3 linked regions of the Styela clava genome follow. The protein of the gene in region 1 purifies or fractionates together with the protein of each later gene. This does not show direct contact. Links are inferred from orthologs where the notes say so. Each region holds a gene or a part of one and is shown in the gene's direction. Other genes may lie near its edges.

Region 1 (8,592 bases):
CACGTTCGACGTTCATTTTAGCACAATGAACGTACACAGTTTCACCGAAAGCACGCGCCAAGAGTGCATCCTTCGCAGAAAATGTTGCGTACCGATAGAGAACTTAAGCCTATTATATCATAGCTATTCCTAGAATATTTTGGATTACTGCAATTACACTAGAACTCCTAAGAAGGCAAAATGATGATTGGCATATTTGATTCATACTTGAAAATCTACGAAGTGGAATGAAGTGCGAGTGGATGCGAAAAGGCTTCTGTAACGTCACTTTTTGCGTCTTGCTGATTGGACAATATTACGAAATAAACAAGGCAGTCGACTCTCGGAGAAACATCTCTTAGAGATAAATTTCGAGCAAAACTTTGCGGGCCAGATGAAAGGACGCCGCGGGCCGGAAGCGGTCCGCGGGCCGTAGTTTGGTGACCCCTGCGTTGCAGCATTGTTGCCAGTAGTTGATGACCGATTTTATTATTAATTTTTATCACTGGAATGTGAGTATTTTATTTTTAATAATTCGTGACTTAGCGGGTCACCAAAAACATGGTAATCCGCAAACCGATCAGTTTTTCGTTATCCCAGGCTATGCCATCTATAATGCCCATGACGTCAGCAATGACGTAATAATGTTTTCTGTGCCTATGTTATATCGACATATGGTAGTGTAATATGTATTAGGCCGTCATAAATGAATTTTTAAATTTTACCGGACCGGGTACCGAACCACAGTCATACATTGCACATGAAAACGTTACTAAATAACATGCGTCAACTTAACACCACCTGAATCGGGGTACAAATTTTGGTACAGTGACTGTCATAGCCGTTTAGGGCTGATGGACAATTCGACTACATGGACAACTCACCAGGTCTATCTGAAGTCGAGTTGTCGTCTGCCTCCCATTTCACATGTCCCGTGACAATGATCTACTCTTCCCCATTCAATTGCAATATGAATTGAAATACTAAGTAATCCGTTTCATTCACTTCTCTCCATTATTGGAACAAAATTTAAAAAACAAGCCCCGCTTTTACCAGACAGCTACGAGTTAGTTCAGTGTCACCGCGCTACCGGAACTGCCCTATCTTTAGAAGATCCTATCTTGTGATAGCGGGAATTGAAATTGCAAGATGGTGCGACTCACAACTGTAGTAACACCAACGATCCGAGTCACTACTGTAATATAACACTATTCGCCATTCTTCAAATCTTAGCAAAGCAAGGATTCCAATACGAACCACCGACGTTTGATTGCACGTGATTAAAAGACATGAAGAGCAGTGCCAGCATATGAGTCCGCAGAACGTTGGGTGACGTCATAGCAAACAAAAACAAATCTCACAGAGCCAACAGAAATATTTGAAATAAATAAAAGTAATAGCCTTCTGGAGAAAAAAATCCTTTTTAACCGCTAAAAATTTCAAAGCAAGTGGTCCAGTAATCAAAGAGAAAAGCGACTTTTTCGATTTTCCACTAGGTGTCCAGAAAGTGTCAAAGAACAAGAACAACAACATAATGTTGAAACGATCCATAGGTTCACTACGTGTGCAATTATCATATTTGTGTTTGCCCAAATAAATTAGTATAGGTATATATATATAACTATCAATAGGATCCCCTTTTTGGACACGTAGTGGACATAACGATCGTTTCAATATTATGTTGTTGTTCTTGTTCTTTGACACGTTTTTAAAAAGTCGCTTTTCTCTTCGAATACTGGACCAATTGCTTTGAAATTTTCAGTGGTTAAAGATTAATTTTTTCGCTAGAAGGCTATTACTTTTATTTATTTCAAAATTTTGCGTGAATTCTATGAAATTTGATATTTCGTCAAAAATTTTGCTGTATTATTTTTTATCCATGGGAACACGGATTTTAGTCAGTGTCATGACTGGCTGAACGTTTTGATTCTGCAAAATTCTTGCTACTGGAAATTTAGAACTTTTTTGAGGGTACCGGTAGCGTCAAAGGTACCGGTAAGGACTGATTCGCTCTGGTCTAACGTTTCCATATATTTGTGCGTAGCTCTCTTGTTCAGCATATTAAGGCATTTTAGGGGAAATAACTTTTCAAAATTCTAAATATTCACATTTCGATTTTTAAAGCTAGAGAGGTGGGGCTCTTCATATCTAGACAAATTCATTTATTCGGCCGTATTTATTTTAGTAACCTTTGGAATGAAAAATATTCAATTTTTGGGGAGTAAAGGCTAATTTATAGCTATCCTAATTTTTTTAGCTATTATTAGGGTTACCATATTTTTTTGACTACAAAGCATAGAGAATTTATCTATTCGCCCAAGCATGCTTTTCTGTAGATAACATCGTCAAAAAGATGTTACAATGTTACATTCACGTGAACGTCCGAACAGGACCAAATAGAATGATTTTACACGTGATACGTTCGCTAACAATATTAGCGGGAAACGACGAAACAAACAAAATAGCTCATTCACCTTCAGTAAGTAGGCTAGTGTTGCGCTACACAGCAACAACAGTAACGAGAACATGTTCGTGTGGCGCGGCGGTGTGGCTCAACGGGCTAAGCGTTAGGAATACGCTCGCCACCGCACCTCTAATTACTCTGCGTGGGTTCGCAGGTTCGAATCTCATGCAGGGATGATTATGTGCGAGAGGATTGCTGGACTCCGCGCCGTCGTTGGGTGGTTCACGTAACCGCTGGTCGGTTACGGCTTCCTCCACCATTAAGTCCATGCTTACAAAAACAAAACAATATAACTAATCCCATGCCCGACTTGGAATGGTAACCGGACGAGAGGCCGTGAATCGCCATATGGATAAGCCGTCTTATCGGCTTTCCTCTCACCCGGGATAAATATGTAAATCCTATTATATCCTAATATGCTGGATGGCTGAACTGATGGCTTTGGGCTGACTTGTCGGGACGGCGGGACAAGACGTTAGAAAGCGGGACTGTCCCGCCTAAAGCAGGACGTGTGGTAAGCCTAGCTATTATACATTTCGCCCAAAGCATTTGGATTTTGGAGAAATGGGGATGAAGACTGTATCAGTAGACTCCCTATTTGGAGCGAAAAAAGAATTGATCACGTAGTACGCTATTTTTATTTTAATTTGCACTATTTTTGTGGAATCTTACAGCCGCTAAACAAGGACAGATAATTGGTTTAATTTCACAAACATATTAATCAATTCAGAGCCACATGGCCTTAAATCAAAACGAAACACTGTGAATAAACAGTTAAAATTGTGGCGCTCAGGAAACGTACATTCGTGTTTTCGTCATGTATACTCTATGGTTATGAAAAATTTAATTTATCATAAGATGTAGTTGGTACTTTGCTTTCCCTGACAACAACAAAAAATAATAAATACCCGAATCCCGCATTGAAATTTCAAAATATAAATCTGCCATTTGGTCGTTGATTAACAAATGGCGTCACGGCGCGCACGTGCTGCTCGCGACGGGTGCTTCACTACCTTGCGACATTTCCCCATTTACAAGGGCTTGCGTCGGCTTATCTCCCTCTTTTCGATGTGTTTTTGACATGCCGGCGTTCTATGAATTTCTGTATTTGAAAGTAAGGACTGAGGCAAGTCTGCAAGTGTACCTAGATTTTGATATGTCATCTTTTTACATAGCCTTATGAACTGAATCCGTAGTTCTGTAGTTAGTTGAAGTTTGACGCTGGTTTACAGGCTTAGGACAGACTGACAGAAGAAACATCTGGAATGTTGGTTGAAAGGGTTGAAAGATAATTATGTACTGTTGCCACTGCTGAACTGTATAAGGCAGTAAGGTCCAGCATACCGGTACGGTACTCAGATAGTCCACCGGTACCGTACCTGGATCATGTCATAAGCTTCATTTGACTGTTTGACATTATCTGGTCTTTTGAGAGTTTGGTGTATTAGACTAATCAAAATTTGTAAATATGCTTCTAATAGTCGGAGATTTCAGTCTGTCTTCAAACTGTCTGTTAACCCAGTAACCCTCCAAATTATACTTTTTGAGTTTTGTTTATTTATAAAACTATTGACAGATTGACCTCAAACTTTGAGGTCTGCTGGTATACCGGTAGTTTAGTACCACATGCACTTCTAGTTGGCCCCGGCTCAACAATTTCTGAATTTTTGCATAGGCTATGTCATTCCTAACCCCCACCTGCCGTCGCCGGTCATCCAAAACGCGTCTGCGCGTAGACCATCACCTGAAATTGAGCAAGCTATTTCTCTTGTGTTCTCGACACAACGACCCTCATATGAGACAGATCGCCGATATTTGTGAGTTTGTTATTGGCGGCGCAGATAGCTAGCAGCTATACTTTGTCGAGCTCTACGATGTGAGTGTGACGTAATTATTGCGACATCTGATGATACCTATGCTGGCTTGAATAAATTTTTGATGCTGATGAATGAGATTTGCCAGTTTCAGAGTTTGTAGAAAGGTGAACAGAATCAGAAAAGGTTAGGTATATAAAATTGGAAACTTGAGGCCTGGGGTTCGATTACCAGTTACAGAATTAGCTTTCCAATCATCTACATTTTAACTAGAACTTACACCTTTTGAAAGTTAGGCGTTTTGAGACCTTGGGTCATTGAAAAGGTTCGTCTGAGAAAATCTGGTGTGAACACGATAACAACAATAAACTTGGGTATTATCTGTGTTTTACAGCATTAATAGTTTACAATTTTCAGTAGGATATCTCTTCACACCTGCTCGAAGCTGAGAACATTCAGAACTCACTTTTGTTGTTATTAATTTTTCGTTTTCAATAAACTTCAGAACTAGACGTTGCATTATATTCAAATACAAAATGTCTTCAGGAGATTCATGGTAAGCTATACTCTGTTAGCTTTTGTTCTATAGCCTGTTTGTTTATCTCTTGCCCCATATTTCCTAGTTTGATCACGATGGTAAATTTGTTCGGTACTCCTGTAGTATGTGAACCAAGATGGCGGACACCGAAATGTAGTATGTTTACCAGGTAATGGTTAGGCCATAATTTCAGGTACAAATACTACGGGAGTCACTTGGCTAGTCCCCGAACTCGTAATAGAACTAAAATAAGGAAAATTGGAATAAAAATATGGCCTAACCTGATACACATACTACGTTCTGGTTTCTTGGTTCACATACCACGGGAATACCATTTGTTCACCACTAACAAAAATGAGTATCAGAATTCAAGCCAATCTTTAACCAGCTTGAATCTTGGTTATCAATGAAATTACAAATAGACATATTTAGTAAATAGTTTGATGTGAATTTCTAATTTTTTAACCAAAATTGTTGGAACAAAGTCTTAAAGCAGGTTGGAAATGTTTTCAAAAATTAACAGAGTCCACAAGTTAATTGTATTATTTTTTTATTTTCATAGTGAATATGTCCCAACAATATGGGCACAGCGAAAAGATTTACTGCTGATATCATTTTGTGTCGAAGATTGTAAAAATCCAGATGTGAAATTCGAAGAAAAGAAAATAATATTTAACGGTCAGGGTGGATCGTTAAACAAAAAATATCATTCACAATTAGAATTATTTAAAGAAATAGATCCTAAGGTTTGTTAATTTTTTCTACGTTTGTGATTTAAAAAAAAATATAATTCATGAATTGAGATGTGATTATATATTCAAATTAAGTTTTATTCCATTACAATTTAACACAGCGACTTTCTCAGTTTCTGTTCAATGTTCATAATATGTCACATACTCACATTCATGAATATTGTCTCTGCTCAAAATTATCAGTTCTAATATGGTTGGGAGATACAGATTGAGATTATACAAATAGTTGTGTGTTTTTTTATGCAACGTATTGATACTTTTACACCTAACAAGACTCTGCATAGGGAACCACTAATAGGTAAGGAGCTGCTTCATCAGTTCTTTCGATTCAGCATTGCCTGAGCAGTTTATTAGATAATCCTGTTGTGTGTGAATCAGGTTAGGGTTAGGCCATGATGTTATCCCGATTTTCCTTATTTTAGTTCTATCACGAGTTCGGGGACGGCCTGTGTTAGCCAAGTGAATATACCCCCCTACCCATAGGTTTCGGTCCCCTTACACAACTTGATGTAAAGTATGCGAACAAAATTATTTACTGTAAATTCATATTGGTACACACACTTCTGGAGCGCCGTTTATTATACCCCGAGTTAGATGGCAGGCATGGGATTTGAATCCGAAGTGCCACCATAATTTAGTCTAACACTTTAACCACTTGGTCACTGTTTGTGCAAATCAATTTGTGTAGAAAGACCTGCAAGGCATATAACAAGGTGTAGTTAACAGGGTTAATTTCCAAAATTTCCAACTAACTTTGTTTTGTTAGAAATATCTACTCCTTCTCACGTGTTAATTAGAGAGTTGAAAATATTGAATCTGACTCAATATCTTATTAACTCAGGCTAATAAAATTTGGAACTTTTTGTGTGAATATTTTTATATGTAAAGTTTGTGTTTAAATTGTGTTTAGCAATGCACAGTGAAGAAAACATCAAGGCTAATATATGTACAAGCACAAAAGAAGGAATCTGGTCCGTTCTGGCCAAGACTGTTAGACGCAAAAATGAAGGTAAATTCTTTAAATTATACAATGAAAGTAATTATCTGCATCGACACAAATGGTTACAATCGACACCTAACAAAATTATGTATGTCTGAAGAAGTCCGACCTTGGTCAGACGAAGCATTATAGAAATATATTTGTGTTAGTGTGCAGCAAGACTCTTGAATCACTTCACATGGACAAACATGGCATTTTATTACTCTCTTTGAATACAACCCGATATATAATTTGAGATATTGCCAATGGTACGCAATGATTTAATTTGGGGTTTACCGAAGTCGATTGACCGGGGGCCAAAACTAGAAGCGGGAGGGTATTTGTGGACCCAGAGAGGGGAGCGCCCGCAAGGGCTGTTACTGTAAGCATATTTGAGATACTGGTATAATTGAATTGTTACTTATATACACATGCTCAAACTTTGATAATGATGTAACAAAGTGTTAAACTATTTCACTCAAGTTCGGCGGGCCATAGTAAATCGTTACTCAGGTCGTTATTGCCCCGTGGGCTGCAGTTTGGGAACCACTTATGACTGATTTAATTAATGTGGGTGAATTTTAAAATGTAATTTATTGAGTTTTTCTAGGCATTTAAACTGCATGGAAAATATACACAACTGTTCCTGGTATTTAATTTGACTATACTACGATATCTAAACAAACTCATTTATGATTTCAGCAACATTGGTTGAAAATTGATTTCAACAAGTGGAAAGATGAAGATGAATCGTCAGATGATGATACAGAAATGGGGGGTATGGGCATGGGTGGGGGCATGGGCATGGGTGGTGGCATGGGCATGGGTGGAGGTCAACAACCTGATCTTTCTCAGGTAAAAATGTTTTTGAAAACTGTTATGTGATACTGTAATGGGTAAAATTAGTGTATGCTTTTGAAAGAATATCTTTGATTATCAAATCAAGTTTTACACACGATTCTTCGATTGCTTATTAAATATTCTTATTAATAATAAACCTTTATTGAGGCTAATTTTGTGTGATTTCAGTGTAGTCAATTTCATTGCAGCTCATTATGTATTCACTACAAATATATTCATTTATTTTTATGACCTCATTATTTATAGATGCTACAACAGATGGGAAGGGGAACTGGAAGCGCTGACTTTGGTGATCTGGATGATGGCGATGATGATGAAGGCAGTGAACCTGATAGTGATGATGAAGGTATTTAATAATATATTAGATTTTTATAGAAAACAGAGCGAGTGTTTATGACTGGACAGCATTTTGTTCCTGAAGCTCTGGCTGCTGTGAATCAAAAAGATTACTGCAGTTTTTTGTTGTAAGCCTTGGATTTCGATGAAAGGGGAGGCATGAAGCCAAATACTCCTGTCCTCACCTATTACACATCATAGCTGTTCCCAAACTATAAGTCGTAATAGGTATAAAAATGGGTCGCAACTTTTTTTTACAGTTTTCAAGTTCTTTATTTCATTATAGACTGAACGTATTTCATTTGGCTTCTTTCTAGGAAGAACTATATCAAGTTAAGATTTGTTGAATCTTTTGTAGAAAGCCCCACCAACGCTCAGAATTACAGTAAATTACAATAATATTTAATGACAGTAAAATATACCAAGCCGCTGCCGACTGGTTTACATTAGGTTCCGATTTTTTGGGCACAGTCAACCTGTACATCACACAAGGTGTATAAAATTCGGTTCGACAAAAACAAGTGCTAGTATACCTAATATAAATTAGATTTCATTTTATTAATGTTCAATGTTAACTATGCTTTTGCTCCTTTGGTGCGGTGAACTCTACCTTTTATTGGATCTCTCTCATTTACTGTACTTACGATTTCTCAGCATACTGATACTTCTCAATTTGGTAGCCTATGATATGGACGTTCATGTCCATAAATCCATAAATGAATGCTTTGATTTTTAGAATTAATTTCAATGTTGAATTTCGAGGAAATTCATTTTGTAGTAAAATTTAAAAGAGTCTTATTTTGTCCAAATACCAGTAAAATGTAACTTAAGTCTTAGAATCTCATGCTATAATCTTCAAACATCTTGGT
Region 2 (8,540 bases), on another chromosome or scaffold:
TCTTCAGGTTGTTCGAAATCAAGCCCGGGAATGCCGTTTTCAGGTGCAACTCCAGGTGTATTTTCAAAAAACTGAGATGAGTTAGACGAATTATTTAAATCAGACACTTCTGACGAGAAAGATGATTCGTGATCGTTCTGCTTTGATTGTGTACCTGTATAAGTAATATTATAAAACGTTTATATATTTAAACATCAACATCGGCGCTCCAGAAGTGTGTTACCAATATGGAGGCAACCCAATTTTGTTCGAGTTCTTTACATCAAATTGTGTAAAGGGACTGAATCCTATGGACATTGGACAGGGTGTATATTCACTTGGCTAACAAAGCGAGTCCCCGAACTCGTAATAGAACTAAAATAAGGAAAATCGGAACAAAATCATTGCCCAACCCTAACCTGGTACACACGATACCGGAGTACATTACGGGAATACTTTTCTTTTTTTAGAGGATATAATATTACATAACCAAAGCCCAAATATGCATAACGTTATATGCTTTGGAAGTGTCGTTTATAAAACTACAGTTGATTATTGTAAGAAAAGAAATATTATATTTATTAATATTATACAGTTCTTTGAAACATAAATGTATGCTTGAATATTCAGTAATGTCTGGAAAACATCAGATCGAGCAATAAATTGTTATCGTAAAATTTTATTCTATCATTAGAAAACGCGCAACCTTATGATTCAACTTGGTCACATTCGAATAAAATACAAAAATAAATTCAGCAAATAAAATGAAATATATTTATTCAAAGAACAACAACACTAAAATATAATATTAATGGTACTTCATTTTTCAATATCATTTAGTTACCAGATTAGTGTTAGCAACAACCAACCAGAATGGTTTTTATCTAAAAATACTGAAGACTACGCCCTATACATGACATGGTTTAGAAATTAGCATGGTATACTCTATTCAGAAACGAAACAAGTAGGTCTGAAGGTTTGGGTGATCACTGGTAATTCAAACTATCTGATGACGTCAAGAAATATCAGTGACAAAATGGTAGTTTTTTTGAATGTTTTAAAATGAGGAAAGTATTAAGATATTTGAATTACCTAAATTTTGCAGTTGATAATCTTTCTCGCATAAAATATTTGAATCGTACGTTTTGTAAACTCTATCTCCCGTCATAATTTTTCTCGAACAGATATTGCACCGAAGACAAGTTTCGTGAAATATAAGATCGTGTACTCTTCTTACGATTTGATCCGCCATTAATTTATCATTACAACCACGGCACTCAGGTCCAAAACGTCTGTAGAAAATAGAAGGAAATAAATTTGTAGTTGTACAGATTAGTTGTCTACTTATAGTTAGTGGTAGTAGTCGAAATTCCAAAACACAGCTAATTTGTCATCACGTATCGCACGCATTCAGATCCATTGGAAAATACTAAATTATAACAAACAGTAATGTTAAACTATAGCTAGTCCTAATGTCTTGTTTGTCACGAAAGTCTGTCTAGTGGTTTAGAAAAGTGAGGTAAATAATTTTGAAATTTATTCTTAATTGTGAATTTATCTACAAATAAGAGTTATATGCATAAATATATTGATAATTTCCCATTTGAATATAAATTATCAGTTCGTATTACGCTACTCCCTTGAACTCACAGTTTGAATATTAATAACAGCTTAATGATCGTTATGATATAGAAACGATTTACAGAAAGTTTGTAGTCGAATCAAAGTGCAAAAATATTATATTACGCTCTTTTTTAGAATAAAATGTTGAGACGTAATCAAATACAGATCAAGCAGGATGAATTATGGCTGGAGCTTTGTAAAAAATGCCCTAATCATCTTGTAATTATAACTGCTTTGCAGTATATATATATAACTTAGTAACATCTATATAAAAATAGAATTAGCCTGGTTTTCTTCAACTTAAATTTATTTCTTGAATATGCAATACTTAAATAAAATAACTTATAATAGAGGTAATTTTAAAACAACTCACCTAAAATAATCTTTTCTGCAATATAATAAGTCGTTTTTCGAATAACATTTCTCGTCAAGCAGTTCATCACAATCGTGACATCGGACACATTTAGCATGCCACAAAAATCCATCCACCCGGAATATGAATCTATCTAAGATGTGGCAACCACAAGCGTGACATGGGGACGGTACAGAAGAAGAATCCGAGTTATTCATATCTGATGCCAGTGAACCAGAAGGCTATGTTCTTGAATTGCAGAGACGATGCTACTGATTGACGACTGATCTGATTTTTATTCACGGTAACATCTGACTTGAAATAAAAATCGCCTTTTTCGTGACCTTTTTTTCTCAAAGTCAGAGTCACGCGTGCCAAAAAGAACCGTAAATTCGCACCCACTTCGCTGTTTTTAAAATCCTCCGATCACATTTGACCGAACATAAGTCGTAGAAAATCTGCATCATTTTGTGCAAATTGGATGAATTCCATGCTTGATGAAGCTTGATCGCGTGTTCAATTTTTAAGCCCTCCCTTCTTCGCTCACGGTCGTTGTGTATTTCTCCCTCTCTCCCTCCGTGAAATAACAAATCCGTTATGGTTATTGCAGGCTATTTATTTATCGATTACACAAAGATTCGAAGTTTAAGTAAAGAATTAAAACTTCAAAAAAACTTTTGAATAAATTTGAATAAACAACAATTCAATTCCTCAACATTTTTAAGCTTACCATTATTCAGTAATCATAAAATCATAAAAAAAATCACGTAGTCAATAGGCATAAAAACGGGAGTTTTTGTGTTTACACAATCAGTTTCTATTTTGTCGTCAGGTCAGCGTATGGTTCTGAAACAAAAGAACAACTTGAGTTAATTTTGTAGCAAATATGATGCTTCGCTGGTTAACTTCCCTAGTTCTCTTTTAGTTATTTGAGGTTCTTCATTAACAAGAATCTAAGTCGAATGTAACATCAAATGTCAAGCAATAATCGACATGTATAATACAAATTTAAACGTCACTCAAAACTTTCAAAATCTCTGTGAGAATCGAGCATTGGCTCCTCCACATTGATTTTCTGATGCGTACGCCGGTCAATGATGGCTCGTGTTTTGTGTTATGAAGAGAATTAGACAGGATTACAAGAGGATTAACGTAACCAAGGTTTGATTTACAAAAATGGTCTCTATAGTATATATAGAATATCTGGATAATCCTAATATATAGACAGACTTGGCGATTGCTCGATCGTAATGTCGATATTAGGCCAAAGTTTGACCCTAACACGTCTCAATTTCATCAATAGAACGTGGTGCTGTCGATTTGCAGAATGCGAGAAAATTTGAATCAATTTGTATACTAATTGCATCAAAATCGAACATAGATAATTTTGTTATTACCATCAGTACATTAGCTTATTCTAACGAAACAAAATAGCGTATAAACTCGAATATCTATACTTGCATCTCATGTGCTTATAGATTATCAAACATGATTTTCCACTCCCGGAAAGAAATAGCATAGGCATTCAAGTATATTGATGCATTTGCAGCTACCAGTACAAAATTTGATTATTGTCCCGCAAAATATAAACTTTATGGGGCTCAAAATTTCTTTTATTTGTTAACAGCCTAGGAGAAGTAATCGATTTTAAAGTGAATACCAAGAACGTAGGCTACGTTAAAATAAGAAAATATCTTGGTGCTACTTCCGTATGCGAAGTCAGCGGTTGTGTGATCTCAGTGATTTTGGTATAGTTTAATAACTGGATACTATGAGAATGTCTTTGTGAAGTCAAACGCATACCAACATGGCACGATTCTTTTTATGAAAATTTTGGATGCGCTTCTTGGGAACGTATCTTATCACTTACGTAGAACATAGAACATGAAGGGAAAATTCTCGAGGCATCTTATGCCTTAATGAATTGACATTGGAGTTCTTTGGGTTGAGTAAACAAATACGTTCAGATGCGCAAGATTTTTCTTAACCCGTGAGCCTGGTCTTTTGCAGGTTAGACCACGGTGGCGGGTGGCTAAATCTTACTACAGTACTTTATTTTCATTATATGCATACAGAGCTCATGCAACTCGAAATGTTTCTGCAATTCTTTTGTGTCCATGCACCTCCGGCTAAGAATGGTCATGTTAAAAAAATTTCCAAACAACCTCCGTATTGTATATATGTATGTTTATTTGCATACATACAATACGGCAGTTGTTTGAACATATATTTACGGTTTGAAGAGGTTTCAATTCATGTATTATCGTATATATTACACCACCGTATATTTTGATTGCAGCCATACGCTAACCTGTAAAATACTCATAAAATTATTGGTAAAAGTTGAATTAAAAATAAAAAAATTTTAGGGTCAGAAAGATCTGCGGGACAACCACATTAAAAAGAATTTCGTGGGGTTGGAACAACGACTAACAAACCGGGCTGGAATTACGGCGATTTGAAAATTAGACGTTGCCAGATTTATCGCAGTAATCTGTTCCTAAAAAATCATAATTAGCATAGATTTCAAAATTATAATATTTGATTTATTTATGCGTAAAATTATGTCAATAATTGGCTTTTGATAGAAATAAATACATCTACTATACGTGACTGCACCAGAATATAGACGTTGAATAAATTAAAACCCTGGCATCATTCAACTCCTCGCATGTTTTTGTGCTAGGCCAGCCCCCAGCTCTAGAATTTTCTAAGTCGTACTTCGACAGTTCTGCATTTCTTCTGTCACCGATACCGTGGTTTTTACTCTACCAACTGATTAGCTCTAGACTAGTTGGTTTTTCATTTTCAGACTTTCCTATTCTTTTTTCGTTCGATAATTTTTTTGCAACTCAGAATGGCAAATGAAGAAAGTGCAACCAATGCACCAATAGATTTGACTTTGGTGCAGAATGGAGGAGTATTGAAGGTTGGTGAAATTTGAAATTTTTTGTTGTGATTTCATTGATTTTAATATAAGACAGTAAGAATAATTATTATTGGTGCGACAATTTTCAGTGTAATTACACAATCGCGGTGACGTGAAAATTGCGGGGAATTTAGATGTTTTGTTACTGGTTTAGGATTTTGGCCAGATTGCGTGGCCCATTTTTGTTGTCTAAAATTTCGGTGGCCCATTAACTTTTTGATCCAAGGTAAAGATTAGAAGAAAAAAAAACTTGTTTTTCAAAATAATATTTTTTCTTAATAATTAGAATGAAAACCAGCATCATCATTCATCGCTACTACAATAAAATTTAACCATAGTGACATAAATGAAACTGAATTTTTCAATGATTATAGCACTTTTAATAGGCGTGTGGCTCACCTGAAAATGTCACCTGTTTGATAACCGGTGCATTATTCAGTCATTTAAATTAGAAATTGGGTTCCTTAGTTCCCAAGCAAATTCTAATATTCTGTGGAGCGCTATTTTCCATTTTTATTATACTTGCTTAGCTGACTTTTAGTAGAAATTAAAAATTGAGTCCCTCTCTGCCATAAACTGATAAATAGTGAAGCGCTCAGGTCGATGAAAAAGTCTTTATTTTTGTAGGAAATAATCACTCCCGGAACATGTGATGAATCTCCATCGGAAGGTTGTAACGTTTTCGTTCACTACACAGGAACTTTACTCGATGGAACTAAATTTGATTCTTCTGTTGATCGCGGAGAAAAATTCTCTTTCAATTTGGGCAAAGGTATGGTTAACTTTGAAAATCTGAAAATATTCACAGCACATCACCATGAGGATTCAACAAACCGAGAATATTTTCATCTCCCATAGTATTTACTGTGTGATTGTATTTTACACTTCACTGCTTTTTTCACGAAGTTATGATTATTGTATTCATCTTTTTGTCATGTTTTCTAATCTGATTTTCTAATTTTCAAAACGACTTTTTTGGTAATTTGTGAAAAAGCGAACATATCGGTTAAAAATTTTTTGCAGAAAACACCTTTTACTACTTTACGATTCTATTTTTTAGGTCAAGTTATTAAAGCTTGGGATCTCGGTGTTGCTTCCATGAAAAGAGGAGAGAAATGTAAACTGACTTGCAAGCCAGAGTTTGCATATGGAGAGAAAGGAAGCCCACCTACCATTCCAGCTAATGCTACTCTTGTATTTGAAATTGAGTTATTTGATTGGGAGGTAGGTATATAGGATTTGAAGTTTTTCAAATAATTTGATCAAGACACAATCATACATAATTACTCAAAAGTGGAGGATGCTCATTCCTGAGCAAAGTTTTTGGTGACCCTAAGATGCCTAGAGCTATTAAACATATGAAGGAATGATAAAACACTACATGTCATTATTACAAAACTTGAAGTCTGTGTGATTGAATCCTTTTCCCAGTATACCAATTAAAATTTTAGTTTGTAATATTCAAAACAGGGTTCTTGAGAATTGTGATAAATGGAATTATAGTATTTTAGTAGATTTTTTGTAGTATAATTATCAATCAATTAAAATACTATTTTTTCAAGTAATAGTGAAATAAAAAATCCAACAATTTGAATAGAATTATCACTAGTCAAATTTGTGTGTACAATAGATAGAATTTACATGTTTATCTCAGGAGAGAGGAGAGAGAATAAGACTGCTCAATCATATGGTGAACCACAACCTCTTGTTGTACGGTTACCAGTCCATGGCAGGTATATGATTAGCTGGGTATTAGTTTCAGATGCATGGACTTGATAGTGGAGGGAGCTGCAACCGACCAGTGGTTATGTGAACCACCCTATGGCAGCGAGGAGTCCAGCATTCTTTTTGCACATAGTTGTCCCCAGGGGATTCGAACCTGTGAACCAACATAGGTTAATCAGAGGGGCTGTGGCGAGCGTATTTGTAACGCTTAGCAATAATTATAATAGAATAAATTGGAACAACAGTTTATTGACTTTCATTCTGTTATAGTTTGAAGATGTTTCTCCCGATAGTGACAAAAGTATAACAAGACAAGTTTTGAAAGAAGGCAAATTGTACGAAACTCCCAACGATGGAGCTAATGTATCAATTGACATCAAGGGATCATATGGAGATACAGTTTTTGATGAGAGGTCATTGAAATTCAATATCAATGAAGGTACAGACACGCAACACTGAATTTTAATCTATTGACTGATCAAAGACAAGATTAGATTGTTGGAATTGTCATAGAGTTGAAAGTTGACCTTGTTGATGGTGTGTTTGCACCTATTCAATCTGAACAATTGTATAGACAAGTAGAGCAAAGAGATGCTGCCTGTTTAGATATTACTCACAAAATTATTACCCTCGATGTGATGTTGCAGGTATAGGGTCCCAAGATCTTTTATCTTATACAGTGTTGTCCAAATTTTTTAATCCCTACCCACTTGGAACTGCCAAATTTTTGCTTTTATATAGGTTAGTGACAAAAATTTTTTTTAAAGAAAAATAAGTATGGCTTGTTTTGACAGTATTGAGTACTGCGATGTCGTGGTAACCCCAGTAAATATTCACTAACATGATGAAGTCAAATAAGCAATGTGCTAACCCCTATACAATTTTTTGTGAGCCATAGGATATGTGAAGTTATATCTTATATATATTTGCAGTGTGCGCCACTCTATAGCAACCTCATAACATTATTTAGCTCGGACTTTTTTTTATAATAGAAGAGCTTTGGACTTGGGCTCGGTGATCGATATAACTCAAACCAATTTCAACATTTTCAAATTAAAAACTGTATTTTGTAACAGATGAATGTGAGAATATTCCGAAACCTGTTGAAGATTCCATAAAGAAAATGAAAAAAGACGAGACTTCACTGTTTCGAGTAAATTCGAAGCATGCTTTCGGAAGCGAGGGACATGAGGGTTTAGGTGTGCCAAAGGATACCGATGTCAATTATGAAATTCATTTGAAAAACTTTGAAAAGGCAAAGGAATCGTGGGAAATGAGTGATGAAGAGAAAGTGGAACAAGGAGAAATTATAAAAGCAAAAGGAACAACTTTTTTCAAGGTTTGCGATTTTCGTTAATGTATTGTTCGTCTTCACTACCAAATCTTAACGATAGGTAATATGAATTTAAACTTATTTTTATTGTTTTTGATGAAGTTATTTGAATGAAGATGAGCCTGACTTCAACTTGACAAAATATGTTGTTTACAAATCATTAATTTTAGTTTGAATTTTGATTCTTAGAGAGAAAAAATTTCAAAGCTTCAATACCCACTTAGGAATAGCAAGTATAATATTCTCAATTTCTACCTAGCAAGTTCAGCATTTCGGTTCTGGAGTACCAAAATTTTAACTGTAGAACTATTTTCCTGTTTGTGAGTGTTTTCAGCCTCGTTTAGAAAATTCAGCTCTGACTTCTGATTATACGAGTCTGAAATCCTGAACTAAGAGAATTAGGATTTTTAAAACTACAGCCCTGATCTAATTACAGTGAGAAACTCCCAAAGTTGCTAAAACCTTGATTGTTATGCACTTTCATTATCAGGAAGGACAATTGAACAAGGCCATTATTCAATACAAGAAAATAAAAGATTTGCTGGACTACAGAGAGGATGCAAAGAAATCCGAACTTGATGAGAAATGGAACTCTCTCA
Region 3 (8,108 bases), on another chromosome or scaffold:
ACTGCCTGGTGTCAAATCCAGAAGTCATCTCGCTTGTGTTTCACTGTTTGCGGACAGCACTTCGTTGATGGTGAGTGATAATGTGCCAATGCCATTATCAATTTCTTTAAATATTCATAAGCTCCCTCATTTCAATGGAAAGCAGATGGCAAACTACTGTTATGGGTAGGCCTAGGCTTAGGCCTACTTGCAGACTTGACTTGTGTAAGGAATTAATCATCAATTGCCATAAGATATTGTTGAATTGTAAAGTTGTAAATATTGTAAAGTTGAATAGATAACTAAAGTTAACGCCAGTGCTCATGCAAAAAATAACCAGAATTCAATTGAATTTGCCATCTAGGAATACGCTCGCCACCGCATCTCTGATCACCCTGGTAGTTTCACAGGTTCCAATCCCATGTAAGGATAGTTATGTGCGAGAGGATTGCAGCTCTTCTCCCACTGAGGGTGGTTCACACGACCGCTGGTCGATTACGACATCCCCCACCATCAAGTACATGTTCCTGAAAACAATTAACTGGCTAACTAATCCCGACATAGAATGGTAATCGTACGATGTTGCATCTTGCAATCCCCCCAACCCCCCCCCCCTCAGATAAATCTTATCCTAAAAACTACCGACATTGGTAGGCATATTTGCGTTTTAATTGAAAGAACTCTTTATCAATGGCCAGAATGGTGTTGTCTGATTGTTTCGTTAGTTAGCAGGTACTCTATTACTGATCTGATGTTTAATTTCTTTTCAGGATAAAAGAAAAATGACCCAATATCAGCAGCTTATAAAAGCCATCAATATTTGAATTTTCGCCATCCCCAGAGAAGAATAGTTAGAAAAAGAGGAGAAAGGCAAAAGGCAGGACCATTTCAACAAATTCTGTTAACTTGTATGCGTTGCAATATCACTTTGCAGTTGTTAGCATAAACATTTAATGTGTCTTTCGAATAGACCTACCACACTTTAAAAAAAGCCGCCTATACCCATTTTCACTAAAACCCTAACACTGTGAAATATTTGATAGAAATTACCCCCAAGGCACCATATCTTCCATTTGAAAGGGCTGTGGAGGCAGATACATTTTTTACTCTAAATTATGGAATGTTACTTCCAGGTTATCTTATCCTTGCTTATAGATATCTTGATGTTAGTGACTCCAACTAGCCCATGCATGCCACACTGAAAATTTTCTTGTGTACCGATGAAATTAAGCAGTTGAAGCCTTCAGACCTTGAAAACAGTCGAATCTGAGCACGATGGATTTATGTGAAACACGTAATATGCATTTATAAGCAAAAATATCCCATCCTGAGCAGCACTGATCCACAACCTCCTGCCTATGGAATCAAAACATTAGACAAATTGGTGTACTGTGCGCATTCACAAATCTTTGCAAATCAAGTGTGCCTTTTGACTAAGAAAAATTTAGCATTGAAATGGTCAATCTCAATATAAACCTGGTATCTGCAGATAAAACCAATTGTTTTTTAAAAATACATTTTTGATCCTAAGTGATTCAAGAGTCTTGCTGCACACTAACACAAATATATTTCTGTAACGTTTCGTCTGACCAAGGTCAGACTTCTTCAGACATACATAATTCAGTTGAATTATGTATGTCTGAAGAAGTCTGACCTTGGTCAGACGAAACGTTACAGAAATATATTTGTGTTAGTGTGCAGCAAGACTCTTGAATCACTTAGGATTGTTATCTCTACTCTTGCTACAGCATCCTTGCAATATATGCATACGGATCCACCGGCACAAAAGCATAGAAGAAGGATAAGTAGTTAGTCTCGCAGAAACCAAATAATAAGTACATTTTTGATGTGCTTTATTTTTCAAATATAATTTATAATTACTGTAAAGTGTTTGATACATTTGGTACCATGAATACCATTTGCAAATTAGCTTGGGTTACACCCCTCTCATATAAAAGTTTACACTCTAAGTCAAATCTCATAATATTCTTTAACATCAGAATTTTCTTTCAGATCACAAAGTCGCAATATTACGCCTCGCTAAGTTTCATTGGCAACTGTATTTGGTTGTAGTATCGGTGTCCAATTAGACTGAAACCTTCACTACCAGACCCACCGAAACAAAAAAAAATTCCTTGATAGGGTCGTATTGAAGTTGCTTTCGTTCAAGCACAATGGACACTTTATCTCCACCAATCCACAGTAACCACAAGTTACTTTGTCATTACAATAAGCATCAATAAAGGAATACTGAGGATGTATTATCAAGTCACGCAAGCTGAGGTCTTGTGCCACTGTGGTCTTGTTGCAACTTATACTTTGCCATCCATCTATTCCACGGTCGCACCCATATCTGTAAGAAAATGGATACAGATTCATTCGATATTATGATCCTGCACTAGCTTTGTAATAATTGTAGAGTTTTCATAAAATCTAACGATCAAGTGGTGTGAAATTTATGTCCATATCCCACCACAAACACTAGTCGTAAATGAACTTGATTAGCATATCCGGGTAGCATATCTTTTTTACCAATGACAATAAAAAGACATTTTGGGTCAGTTGTACAAGCACCTTTAAGATAGGATTTATCTGGGAGGGGAGGATTGCAGGTGCAACAACTAAATCATATAGCGAACCACAGTCTCTCGTACGATTACCATTCTATGTTGGGATTAGTTAGCCAGTTATTTGTTTTCAGAAGCATGGACTTAGATGGTCGTAACCGATCAGCGGTCGTGTGTGGTGGTAGAGCTGCAATCCTCTCGCACATAATTATCCCCGCATGGGATTGGAACCTGTGAAACTACCAGGGTGATCAGGGATGCGGTGGCGAGCGTACCTTATTCCTAGATGGCGAATTCAATTGAATTCTGGTTATTTTTTACATGACCACTGGTGTTAAACTTTAGTTATCTATTCAACCTTCACACTTAGCAATAGATTACTTGCTAACTATAACTAGGGAAACAATACCTTATGGCAATTGATGATTGATTTCTTACACAAGTCAAGTCAGCAAGTACGGTACCGGTACCGGTAGCCTAGGCCTACGCCTACCAATAACAGTAGTTTGTCATCTGCTTTCCATTGAAATGAGGGAACTTTTTAGGGAGGGAGGGAGAATATTAGAGGAAATTGATAACGGCACATTATCACTCACCATCAATGAAGTGCTGTCCGCAAACATTGAAACACAAGCGAGATGACTTCTGGACTTGACACCAAGCAGTACTGCTGCCGGTAATAGATGATATCCACATTGCGCGACGTTTCGGATCTTTTGAAACAGTGGAATATAACTGAAGATCTATTTCGTTGTCTAATTATACTATACGTACAGCCAACAGAACAATACGGTGGTCACGTGACTTTGTTTACTGGACGGCAAAAAAACAAAAACGTCCATTTGGCTCCTGTCAGTTGCAAGTCGGATTATACCGGTACCGGTACGTTTCCGTTTTGTTTGGCTGTCGAAATGGCATAGACCAGGGCTACTCAACTGGCGGACCGCGGTCCGAATCCGGACCTTTCGGGTATTCGATTCGGACCGCGACTAATTCTTTATTTTGGATCATTAGCCCCACTTCTGAAGTTTCCTTTTATAAAATCACTTTTATAGGTTTAAATATATACTGGTAATTCACATAAACTGCTGAAACAGAGACTGCCTGAAAATTTGACTGTTTTAAAAAGCGTGTCTTTGTTTTCTGTCAGCAACATACGACATACATACTGTGAGCAGGGTTGCCAGACCCCAGCGATCAAAAAAAGCCAAATCAAAATTTGAAAAAGCCAACATATCTACTAAGTACAAAAGCCCCATGATTTGTCAGATTTTAAGCCCTTGACAACATACTGATGGAGTGATGGTGATGTAGAGCTATCAGTTCATTCAGTGAGGCAAATAAATAGAAAGTAAAGTTCCTATAGAACTGTAGAAAGTAAAATAAATATCAAGCGGACAGCATCATTTTACCATTCAATATATACAATACAGGGTGCTGCTTCAGTCTGTCAGTATGTAATATACCTACATGTTTCTACTTAAACTTGTGATATACCGGTACCTTAAAAAATTCTCCCTATATCGTACTTTACTATTGAAAATTTGTTCACTTTTAAAATTTATAAACCATCAATTTTATTAAAAAATGCCGCTCACGAGTGAACCCATGATATCTAATTCAGTAATTTTAGCAAAGTTAATCACATCGTTACTGCAATTGCAGAAATAAACTAAAGCTTACATAAACCATATCAGGCATAATAAAATTAAGTTATACAACTATTTTTTGGAAACGGAACGTAAAACTGACAAATAACACGCAAAACTATAATAACAAGGCAATGTTTACAACCCTGCTTTAACATATGTCTGAGCAGCTGCAGAAACTGCAATTATTTCTCATTGGGTATGGTTAAGAGTTAATGCATTAATAATGTAACAAACAAGGAAATCGATGCTCCAGGAAATCCTAATGTTAAGTAGCTAAGTACGTGTAATACAGTAATAGGCTATTGTATACTGAAATATTGTAGGCTACTTCATATGATTTTAATAATAGAAACTAGAATGACTTGAAAAACGCCGAAAAACCAAACGGAAATTCTGACGCCAAACGCGTTTGAAAAATGGCAAATTTGGCGTTAAAAAAGCCAATATGGCAACCCTGACTGTGAGCTGTCAGAAAAATAGCTATCTCAAAAAACATTATTGGCAGGGCAAAAAGTAAGCTACAAAACTTCAATCTAGTAGAATCAGAAAGTGGAACAATATCACGGCAACAGCAATGTACGCCAGCAATGTTACTACGTCATTTAAATGCTGGTGTTAAAAAATATTAAGTGCAATAAACTGGAAAAAACAAACTACTGAACTAAGAAACAGCAGGAAGACAGATTCACTGAATGCAATACAAGTCATCATTAAATTCAACCTACCATAATTCCGAATAAACAATGTTGCATGTCACATAGGGAACCTGTTCCGGTTTAAAAAAACATGTACAACAGCAGTAACATATAAAAACCCTCTAAAGCAACTGTAGCAGCAACACCAACTTTAAATGATCTTCTACTATGATGTAATATAGTGAACTATTTGTACTCTCTTCTTATGTTTATTTTTAATTTCTGGATGTTTTGTTTTCCCATCTAGATATTTTTTATACTGGTATACAGACTGAACTACGCTTCATAGCCGAGGAGTCCAGCAATCCTCTCACATATAGCCTTATCACACAACTGCATAATGCGCCTTACCGCCGATGCAAATATATTATCGTTATTGTTCATATATATTTGCCTGAAGGTAACCAAAAATACAATTTTTTTTTCAGACTTAATAGTATTATCATAGTGCTACCTCCTGATCATGGACCAAGGTTTGGCCAAAAAACTGTTTGAAGAAGGTGCATTTTTAATTCTTGTTGATATGCCGAAAGGTACAGAATTTGGAATGGATTGGAATTCTTGGATTACCGGACCCAAATTCAAAGGTGTTAAAATGATTCCCCCTGGCCTCCACTTTATTTTTTATAGTTCAAATGGAAAACATGGTGGCCATTCATCTCCAAGGTCTGGATTCTTCCATTTTTTCAAACAGAGGGAAATTTTTATTAGCCATTGGGATGTTAATAATGAGGAAATCCAATTCTCTCACAAGTCTGTTGATGAGATGAATTCACTCAGAGAAAATCTGAAAAACTTGGATAAAAATTTGGCGCCTTATCCATATGACACCTTAGAAAAATGGGTGTCTCTGACAGACTGGATTAATAATGATGTTATGGTTAAACTTCAACCCGAAAACGGAAAAATTCAGTCTGTTCCCGAGTTAATTTCAGAAAGCAATGTTTCACCAAGTGGGAGAGAGATGTCGGAAGAGAGTGTCAAAGTGCCAAGATCAAGTGCAGTTGACGAGGATGGACTGCCTATACTAAAACCTAAACCTGGGACTGAGATAAAATTTTCAATGATACCTAAACAATGGTATCCCCCAAACGCAACTCCACATGAAATTTCAAAGCATAGTGTGGATTCATCATACATTTTAGGACAAATAATAAAAAACTCTTCCCAACCTGAAGACTTGCTTGGTGAACTGCAGTTTGCATTTGTATGTTTTGTTTTAGGGCAGGTGCTTGATGCTTTTGAACAATGGAAATCCCTTGTAAATGTCCTATGTTCTTGTGATGACTTGCTGAAAGAACATCAAAAATTGTACGAGAGTTTACTTACAGTATTTTATCATCAACTCAATGAAATACCAAAGGATTTTTTTGTTGATGTTGTTAGCTCTAATAACTTTTTAGTTTCAACTTTAACTATACTTTTTAGTAATCTGCAAACTGAGGGAATTGATGCAAGTCTACAAAAACGTGGCAAACAGTTTCAAAAATATTTGACTAAAAAATTTAAGTGGAATTTTAAAAGTGAGCCAGATGATTGGGCGCCTGTGGTTGTAGAAATATAAGAATATAATTATGTTGATGGATTTCAACTGAAATTACACTTTTTTCATATAAATGGGTCATAAAATTTTGTTTAAATTTAAGATTTTAAAGTAGCTCAATCGGGATCAAAAATTACATAGTGAGTCAGGTCGATTCAAAACAAACCTATTTCATAAAATAAAATACTATTGTTAAACAAAATATTTGCTACAATTTGTAAATATGTTTATACTGAATGATTCCACATCGTAAGGAAAGCTAGGAATGGAGGAGCAAACTGGCTACAAAATTGTAATGCCCCCATCTCTTCCTGCCCTCGTTGACATTGCGGCAATTAAAAATTGAAACTCAGTGATGCATCTGTTGTATCACACTTACAAATTAAAATAGTCTGTGATGTTTCATGTCATTTTTCTTATATCATGCTTAATTCTCCATTCAAAATAATTGGATATTTCACCTACAAACAGCTTCCAAGCAAAAACATTATTTTTCTTCAATTTTTGCCATCTAGATATACTAATTGATATAGACTACTACACTAATTGTGGAGAAAATAAAATGTTTTATTGAATTCAAAATGTAAGTAAAGGAACATTTTTAGAGTAACTATGAGTCTTGCTCTGAGACCAAGATTGTGGACCAGGCGTTTTTTTTTCTGCCATCGCAACTACAATGTGGCTGTAGAAGGAGAATTAAACAACGATAAGTTGATGGAAGAACAGCTTGTAAATGATTTATTTGGAGGTACAGGAGGTTCAAAGAAAATTCCTGATAAACTCGAGAACACTTCGACACTTTTGTTTCCTGGGCAAGGAAGTCAGTATGTTGGAATGGTGAAAAATCTTTTGAAATATCCAAATGTCAAAGATATGTTTGATGTTGCTTCGGAAATTTTGGGATTCAAATTATTAGACCTGTGCATCCATGGTCCTAAAAATCAGTTGGATAAAACCATCTACTGCCAACCTGCTGTTGTTGTTACCTCACTTGCGGGTGTTGAAAAGCTTCAAGCTGAAACACCAGAAGTTTTAGAAAATTGCATGGCAGTGGCAGGATATAGTGTTGGAGAATATGCCGCCCTCGTGTTTTCCGGAGCTCTGACTTTCGAAGATGCCATCAGCTTAGTGAAAATCAGAGCACTTGAGATGCAAAAGGCATCTGATGACACTGGTGGGGGAATGATTTCTTTGGTTGGTGGTGCAAAAACTAAGTTCAACTTGGCATGTACTGATGCAGTGGAGTATTGTCATGAAAAGCTAGGCATGGAAAGAGTTCTTTGCAGGGTTTCTGGTTATTTGGCACCAAATATAAGAACTGTAGCTGGTCACCGTGCTGCGCTTGAATATCTATCATCACAAAAGCAAAATTATCACATCAGGAGGGTTCAGATTCTTCCAGTGTCTGGAGCATTTCATACTGCTTTAATGCGACCTGCAGTTAAGAAAATGAAGCATGCACTGAAAGCTATTGAAGTAAAAGAACCCATGGTGACGGTTTATGGCAATATAGATGGCAAACCATATAAGGACTCGGCTGACATTGTCGAAAAACTTCTAGAGCAAATTATAAGACCAGTTTTGTGGGAGCAGACAATTCATGCCATGTATGCACAGTATAAAAATAAAGCACCTCACACTTATGAATTGGGTCCGAACCACCAGCTTGGGG

What was found.
Region 2: the proteins of co-chaperone protein daf-41-like (region 1) and peptidyl-prolyl cis-trans isomerase FKBP4-like purify together in Homo sapiens (affinity purification with mass spectrometry; 3 studies listed by BioGRID and IntAct, with this or other methods). This does not show direct contact. The link is inferred for Styela clava from reciprocal best matches to the Homo sapiens genes PTGES3 and FKBP4.
Region 3: the proteins of co-chaperone protein daf-41-like (region 1) and protein AAR2 homolog purify together in Homo sapiens (affinity purification with mass spectrometry; 3 studies listed by BioGRID and IntAct, with this or other methods). This does not show direct contact. The link is inferred for Styela clava from reciprocal best matches to the Homo sapiens genes PTGES3 and AAR2.

The regions. Positions count from the first base shown.
Region 1 is NC_135259.1:4,438,626-4,447,217, forward strand, and holds the start of co-chaperone protein daf-41-like, read left to right. Parts: upstream 1-4,635; 5' UTR 4,636-4,793; coding exon 4,794-4,813; intron 4,814-5,357; coding exon 5,358-5,541; intron 5,542-6,457; coding exon 6,458-6,556; intron 6,557-7,228; coding exon 7,229-7,381; intron 7,382-7,633; coding exon 7,634-7,733; intron 7,734-8,592. UniProt on the Homo sapiens protein: Cytosolic prostaglandin synthase that catalyzes the oxidoreduction of prostaglandin endoperoxide H2 (PGH2) to prostaglandin E2 (PGE2).
Region 2 is NC_135261.1:9,014,212-9,022,751, forward strand, and holds the start of peptidyl-prolyl cis-trans isomerase FKBP4-like, read left to right. Parts: upstream 1-4,651; 5' UTR 4,652-4,811; coding exon 4,812-4,883; intron 4,884-5,510; coding exon 5,511-5,655; intron 5,656-5,943; coding exon 5,944-6,107; intron 6,108-6,878; coding exon 6,879-7,047; intron 7,048-7,684; coding exon 7,685-7,947; intron 7,948-8,431; coding exon 8,432-8,540. Other genes in the region: LIM/homeobox protein Lhx1-like, read right to left, coding at 1-154, 1,072-1,271, 1,976-2,172. UniProt on the Homo sapiens protein: Immunophilin protein with PPIase and co-chaperone activities. Component of steroid receptors heterocomplexes through interaction with heat-shock protein 90 (HSP90).
Region 3 is NC_135254.1:12,007,248-12,015,355, reverse strand, and holds protein AAR2 homolog, read left to right. Parts: upstream 1-5,291; 5' UTR 5,292-5,356; coding exon 5,357-6,457; 3' UTR 6,458-6,952; downstream 6,953-8,108. Other genes in the region: malonyl-CoA-acyl carrier protein transacylase, mitochondrial-like, read left to right, coding at 7,049-8,108. UniProt on the Homo sapiens protein: Component of the U5 snRNP complex that is required for spliceosome assembly and for pre-mRNA splicing.